Linked DNA regions of Elephas maximus indicus. The protein of the gene in region 2 purifies or fractionates together with the protein of the main gene of each other region. This does not show direct contact. Links are inferred from orthologs where the notes say so. Each region holds a gene or a part of one and is shown on either strand. Other genes may lie near its edges.

The links. The genes of interacting proteins can lie anywhere in the genome.
Region 1: the proteins of RNF7 (region 2) and SPSB2 purify together in Homo sapiens (co-immunoprecipitation; 3 studies listed by BioGRID and IntAct, with this or other methods). This does not show direct contact. The link is inferred for Elephas maximus indicus from reciprocal best matches to the Homo sapiens genes RNF7 and SPSB2.

Annotation. Positions count from the first base shown.
Region 1 is NC_064822.1:63,670,600-63,674,345, forward strand, and holds the start of SPSB2 (SPRY domain-containing SOCS box protein 2), read right to left. Parts: upstream 2,453-3,746; 5' UTR 2,344-2,452; intron 2,063-2,343; 5' UTR 1,984-2,062; coding exon 1,320-1,983; intron 349-1,319; coding exon 221-348; 3' UTR 1-220. UniProt on the Homo sapiens protein: Substrate recognition component of a SCF-like ECS (Elongin BC-CUL2/5-SOCS-box protein) E3 ubiquitin-protein ligase complex which mediates the ubiquitination and subsequent proteasomal degradation of target proteins.
Region 2 is NC_064841.1:17,959,110-17,962,855, forward strand, and holds the start of RNF7 (RING-box protein 2), read right to left. Parts: upstream 2,257-3,746; 5' UTR 2,150-2,256; coding exon 1,975-2,149; intron 1-1,974. UniProt on the Homo sapiens protein: Catalytic component of multiple cullin-5-RING E3 ubiquitin-protein ligase complexes (ECS complexes), which mediate the ubiquitination and subsequent proteasomal degradation of target proteins.

The DNA of each region.
Region 1 (3,746 bases), on a different chromosome or scaffold from region 2:
CAGCCTTGAATAACAGCTCCCTCCCTTCCACCCCCTCTGGGTGCCTCTGGGATGGTTGAGCTCCCCAGAACGTTGGGAATGTTGGGGTAGGGGCCCAGCCTCACCTTCCCCCAGCCTCACTGGTTTTAAGTAGCTGGTCTAGGCCAGCAATGCCCGGCTTCCCATCCTCCACAGGGTGGGTGGTGGCAAGGCCTCCCTGCACTGTCTGGTAGCACAGGGGTCACTGGTAGAGCAGGTAGCGCTTCATGGCAGGGGGTAGGGGCAGAGCAGATACCTGGCCAAGACGGGTATCCCCCAGGGAGTGGCGTACACACAGGCGGCTCAGGTGGAGCAGGGAGTGTGGTTCCGCTGGGAGAGAAGGAGGGGAAGGTAAGTAGAGATGCAGCACCAGCCAGACATTTTCAAACTACAGGGCCCTGCCCAGGTTCCCTTCTGCTTTCCTGCTCTAAACTTGCTCCCACTTTGACTGAGAGGGAAACCTAAGGCACCCTAGAATTCTGCATCTGCTCTTGGGGGTAGGGCATCACAGCTAGATGTCACACATTCCCAATCAGAGCTGGTAATAAAGCTCTAGCTAAGGCCCTGAAAGCAACAGGCCAAGGTGGCTCCAACAGTGGTGGAGCTAGCCAGGCTTTGATTCCTGAGGTGCCTCGGAGCTGGGGCTATGTAAAGGAAGGATGGTCCTCCATCCTATAGAAGCTTGCCACTGGTGATGGGAGAAGAGGCATCTAAGTTCTGCTGGAGACTGCAAACTCAGAGAAAGGCTAACTTCGATCAGTCCCAAGCCCTTGCCTCCAAGGAGGCTCCTCCCCAAGGCCTGCCTCCTCTGTGCTCCTTCCTGGTGCCCAGGGCCCCACAGCTCCATTCTGGAGGTTCTACTGAGGAAGGAAGTAGGTATGCGTCAAAGATGGGTCAGAACCCAGGTAATCTGTATACACCCTGGGTGCCTGGCCTTGCCAGCCCTCTCTTCCTTTGGAACCTGTACACCTCTCCCAACCCCATTTAACCCTTGCATCTCTTGCTCCAGGGGCTGACGTTTCCTATAAAGTCTAATCCCTGGAGCGACTCCCTCCATTTTGAGGTTTCACCACTTACTAGCCAAGAGAACTTGAGCAAGTTGCTTTTTCAAGCCTCAGTTTTACCTCGTTGTTGTTTGGGAGGATTAAATTAAGCAACATCCCTTAGCCAAGCCTAGCGCGGAATACGGATAGGAGGCAGCCCAGATGAAGGCCCACCCTCTTGTCAGACGTTGAGCTCCTATCCCAATTCACTGCCACCTGTGACAGAACCCTCTTCCCAGCACCTGCCCCAGGCCTCACCTCTCTTTTCGCCCAGGTAGCGGATGCGAACCTGGCACTGGCCCCAGACAGCGCTTACTGCCGGATAGAGGGTCCTGCCCTTCAGTCCGCGGAAGGCTGGCCCCAAGTAGGTGCCCCCAATAGCGTAGCCCAGAGTTCCCTCCTCCATGTCCAGAACCACAAGTAGCCTCTCTGGCACCTCCAACTGTTCACCCTGAGGGCCGGCTGGATACTGGGGGGCCCCTGGCCCCTTGCTCTGATGGTACAGCTTTCCGCGCCCAAGGTCCCAGCCCCACGACTCGCTGTTGCTGCCCAGCAGCGCCGCATAGTGGTCAGCCTGCAGCGGGGCGAAGGCCGTGGCCACGCCCACCACGGCATGGGTGCCCCTCTGCTCCGGGGGCCAGCTGATCTCCCAAGCGTGCAGGCCCCTCGAGTAGCCTCGCTTACCCCGGGCCCCATCAGTGCTCTGGGCCACGGGCCGCCGCTCAAAGCACAATCCCCCTTCCTTGACCTCGATGTTCTCTGAGCAGTCCTTGGGGTTCCAGCCGTGGCGCCGTTGGGCCCCCAGGTCAGGAGCGGGCGCAGACAGCAGCTCCTCCAAGCCCTCGGGACAAGAGAGGTCAGGGTACAGGGTCTGTGGGGTAGGGGTGCTGCTGCTGCCCCCTGCCAGGGCCGACTGGCCCATGGAGGTGAGGAGTTGGGAGACTCCCCAGTCTTGCTGGGGTGTCTCTCTTCTTAAAGTTGAGCTCCAATTCGGGGCTGACCTGGAGCGGAGTTGGAAGAGAAGATGTGAACCGCGAAATCCTGGCGGGGGCGCCTCACCTCACCCAGGCACCCCATCCATTCATCCGCCCTCTTTTGGCCCCATGTTTGCCCACTGTCTGCTCCTCCTCTGCTCCCCCAGGGCTCCAAGGCCCATTCCTCACCCTGCCCTCATCCCTCATCAGATCTCGAGGCTCTCGCCAGTTCGCTCCCTTTGGGCCTCTCCATGGGCACCCCCCACCGTCCCCCTTGCCCTCCCGCATCCCGGTCATCGCCTCCGAACCTCGGTCAATTTTCCAGCCCCGTAAATAGCTGGCCCTCGGGACGAGCAGATCCGAGGGCAGCAGATGCGCGCCGGGCGCAGACAGCCGGCCGCTTCCGCCTCCAGCACCGCCCCCAGCCCGCGCCCCGCCCCTAGGCACCGCCCCCGCCCACGGGCGGGGCCATCCGGGGGCGGTTAACCCTCTCCTCGCCGCGCCCCTCCCCGAGACACTGCACCCGCGAGGTCCCCTCCGCAGCGGTTAACACTGCGGTCGCAGCTGCGGAAGACACACTGCGCCCCGAGACCCCACCCACGCGGGTGAACCTCCGAGGCGGTTAACCCTCTGATCACCGCTCCGCGCCGCGCACCGCCCCGTGGTCCCGCCCCCGCGGGGGAGGCACACCGGGGCAGTTAACCTATCCCTTGCCTCATCGGAGTCGGCACCTTGGCGATAAAGGTTCGGAATTAACCCTTTGATGTCGTGGTCAAAGCTGGATCCCTGAGGGTCTGTTCTCTTATCTTCAAGACCTTTGAGTCACCTCCGGGCAACCAACTTCTGAGCCCCTGGGGGCGAAAGGGCATGGGCCGAGGAGGGACTTCCGTGTGTTTAACAACAATTTTTATTTCTCTGCGATTCTGGGTCACTGCTTCTGGGGTGGTCTGTTTCTGCCCCGGGTTGTGGGTCAGCCTGTGCCGTGTCTGAAGTTCTAAACTCTTATGTTTCAGGTTCTCTGAACTTCAGATGTCATCTGCTCCATGATGTTCTAGTCTTCATACTGGACGTCAATCCGTTCCTGAACTGCTGGTCTCATTTGGTGTAGTGCAGTGATTAGGAGCATGGTTTTGAATGAAGCTATGCCACTAATTAGCTGTGCGACCTTGGGGAGACTGCTAGACTTCTCTAAACCTGTTTCCTGTTTTGTAAAATGGGAAAATGATGTTGTTTACTTCATAGGGTTATTGTCGAGTTGAATAATCCATATAAAGCATTTAGCACAGACAGCCTGGTACATAATATGTACTCACTAAGTGTAACTGTCATTATCAACATTTACTGAGTTCCAACTCTATAGAGAACAGTATAGTACAGTGGTGAAGGATGCCAACTTTGGAGCCAGATCAACTGGGTGTGAATACCTAAGGGCCAGTATGCATGCAACCTTGCACAAATTACATAACCTCCCCATGGCTGTTGCCTCTGTAAAACAGAGGTAATGTTGTTGTTAGGTGCTGTCAAGTTGATTCGGACTCATAGCGAACCTGTGCACAACAGAAACACTGCCTGGTCCTGCGCCATGCCCACAATCATTATGATTGAGCCCATTGTTGCAACAACCACTGTGTCAATCCATCTCGTTGAGGGTCTTCCTTTTTTTCATTGACTCCCTATTTTGCCAAGCATGATGTCCTCCTCCAAGCACTGA
Region 2 (3,746 bases):
ATGAATTTGAGCCATTTATAACCCATACTTTGACCTACTATAAAAAGACCAGTAAAATTTATTTGTTGCACTTTGATTATTTTAGGTTTCTCCATTTCCATTTGCTATTTTTAAAAATTTCTTCTGGGAAAAAACAGCTTTTTTAGAGATAAATTCTTTTTACCCTAGTGGAAACCTATGGGATAAAATTTTTAGCAAAGCTTGTTCTGTAAAAGATGAGATGTGTAAGTTGCTTGGATCAGTTAAAAATGTCACCTCAACGGGAAGCTGTGATTCTAGTACGTAAGGTGTGTATCTGCGGGGAGGGGTGGGGGTGAAGGGGTGTTCCAGGCAAACAAGCTAGATGCTTTTAAATCCAACATCCAAGTAAGCAGATCATGTCTAAAATCAAGTTTTTTCAAAAGTAAAAAGTAACATTTTGATTCCCAGTGTTGTAAATTCTTTTCGAAACAAGCCCTTATGAATAAAAAACGCATACTAAAAAAAAAAGAGGACATAAATTGAGGTTTTTGTTACTTGTTTCTGAGAGCTCATTTATGATTAAGTACGTTTTTTTTTATGTTTACCTTTTCATAGTCATGCACTGCACATGAAATATGTTTTTCCCCCTTTATTTCACCGTGATGTTTTGGTCGGATAGAGGTTATGTATTAAACATAACCATGTTCTACTCTTTTTTGTTTTTGAAGGAAAAGAAATTTTAAGTTATTTTCTCCAATTCTCTCATTTTCAGGACAAGCCAGTTTTCAAACCATAGAAACCTCAGATTTTTTCACCTACCCCGAAGAAACATTTAAGGTGCTATGACAGTAATTTTAAATGCCCTATTTACAAACGTAACTTGCATTTAAATTTAAACAGCACCTCTGCTGCAAGGTAGTCGAAGACCTTAAAACCGAAACCATATAAAATAAAACCGGATTAAGTTGTTGCAGGTTTCCCTTGGTCCAATATTTTTATTGAACATGTCACAGAAAGAGGTTAAGACGTATTTCTGAAAGAGATTTTCCACAAAGGCATGAGTCAGAGGGGGGCACATCTCGGAAATGGCATTCTACGATGGGGCGGGGGAGGCGCGAAGGGAGGGCAGAGGTCACGTTTTCCCTCTCTAGCCCACATGCATTTATTATTGGAGTAGAAGCACTGTCCCTGAAGAGCGGACTTAGAGTCCTCAATTCCCATGAAACACGAACATTCTTGAACTACACTGTATTCCCTTCATGCCGAACGATTCCATCCGACTCGCCCTCATCCGGAAACGCAATGTCTGGGAAGACTTCTCTTTTCTGCGCTTCTCAGGAGCAGGACGGAGGGCGTTGCTCACGTGGAAGATGACTCTAGAGTATCACTTTGGTGTGTGACCAGAACCATCAAAGTTCTCCTGAATCAGGGCCTTTACCCTGACCCCTTTCCGGTTTTGCTTTTAGAGATGGGACTGGGGCTGGGCACACAAACCGAGGCGGTTCCTCCCAGCTCCCATTAAGTCACCCGATTTTATTCTCCTGGTCCTCGACTACAAGCCTAAAGTTTGGCGGTTCAAGCCCACGTAGAGGCGCCTCGGAAGAAAGGCCTGGCGATCTGCTTCCGAAAGCTCACAGCCTGGAAAACTCTATGGAGCAGTTCTACTCTGCAAACATGAAGTCGCCACGAGTCTGAATGGACTCCACTGCAACTAACAACAACCACTTGAAACGACTTTTGTTTGTTCTTCCACTCGCTGACTGCCGGCCTCCCTCGCTAGAATACTCCCCCCAACCCCGCACCCGGCGCTGGGCGCCTGCTGGACGACCCGGCAGCCCCAGAGAAGGCGACCACCGTCCTGGGACCAGCAGCCGCACCGGCGTGGCCCGGGTCCCACCGCCCCGGGGCAGGCCGACCCCCGCCCACGCCGGCAGGGGTCTTTCCGAGGCCTCGGGCCCGCCCGGCCGCCCGCGGAGGCCGCAGCGCGGCCCGCGTCTCGCGTGCAGCGCTTACCCATCACCTGGACCCTGCAGATGGCGCACGTATCGCACTCCACGTCCCAGCTCCACATGGCCACCGCGTTCCACTTCTTGAGGGAGAACATTTTGTCGCCCCCCGACTTGGAGCCTGCGCTCCCGGAGTGAGAGGAGAGGACGCCGGAATCCTCGCCGTCTTCCACGTCGGCCATGACCGCGGCGCGAAGCCGGCGGCGGAGACGTTGGGCCGCCGGAGGAGGACTGCTATGGCGGCTCCGTGGGGCCGCCCGACGGGCCACAGCGCCACCCGCAGGCCGTGGGCTACTCCGGGCCTCCGCTCGGGGCCGCCCACGATTGGCTGGCGAGGTCTGGTGACGTCACTCTTCGTCGGCGCGGGGGTGGGGCCTTAGTCCCCGCCTCCCCGCCCTGGGGCAGCGGGGGAGCCCGCCAGGTGACTGGGGGGGGGGTCGGGCAGTCCTATTGTTACCGTGTCACGTTAGGCGCACAGACTGCAGGAACCACGTGCCCTGTTTTAGGCCTTCACTAAACGGACCACTTTCCAAAGCTTGTCTCCCAAAATAAACATCAGAGCAGGGGCCATGTCTGGAGTCTTCATCACCAGCTTATATCCTCGGTGTCTAAAAAATGCCTGGCCATAGTAAAAAAAAAAAAAATTTTTTTTTATAGTAGGCGCTTGACAATTATTTGTTGAGTGAATAAATGACCTTGAAGATCTTCTAGAAATCCGGTTCGCTGCTTCTCAGAGTTTTTGGCGTCTGAATCCCTCTACACTCTTTAATTATTAGGACCTTAAAGACCCACCCCCCCCTTTTTTTTTTAATGTGAGTTATATCTATCTACTTTTAAGAAATTAAAACTAAGAAAAAAATTAAATATATTTATTCGTTTAAAAATAACAGTAATAAATCCACTACAAGATATTATTAGAGTGATGATCATATAGCCTTTTGAAAACTTAAGCGACCGGGCTGCTAACCGAAAGTTGTCGGTTCCAGTGGCTCCACGGTAGAAAAACCTGCTTTATAAAGATTATAGCCAAGGATACCCTGTGGGGCCGTTCTGCTTGTCACATCAGGTCAGTATGAGTTGGAAACCATTAGAGGACACCCAACAACAACGGTACACTCAGGAGAAAATAAGAGTGAAAGATGGAAATAGCTTCTGAATATTATTTTGCAAACAGGTTTGCACTTCGCATTCTGAAAGAATCTTAGGGACCCTCGACCACACTTTGAGAACCCTATAATGTAGCTTAACACCTTTTTTTTTTTTTTAATGTAGGGATAATGAGTCCAGAGAAGTGAAGTAAGTTAAAGGTCATGTTGCTATTATGTGATGGTGACAGTTTTGAAACCAGGGTCGCTCTGCTGCTAAAACCAAAAACCATCTGCTGTCTAATCAGTTCCAACTGATCAGTGACCCCATATGTGTCAGAGTAGAACTGTGCTCCATAGGGTTTTCAACGCCTGGTTTTTTAGACGTTGATTGCCAGGCCTTTCTTCTGAGGCACCGTTGGGTGGACTCAAACCACCAATCTTTTGGCTAGCAGCTAACCATGTTAACTGTTTCATATTTTTATGTTTTCCCAAGCAAAGCAGACAACATCTCCATTTTAAAGATAAAAAAAGCTGAGTTACAGAGAGCCTCAGGAATGGTCTGATTCCCCACCTATCCACCTATCCTAGTTATCTAAAAAAAAAAAAAAGTTATCTAGTTATCTAGTGCTGCTATAACAGAAATACCACACATGAGTGGCTTTAGTGAACATTTATTTTTTCACAGTTTAGG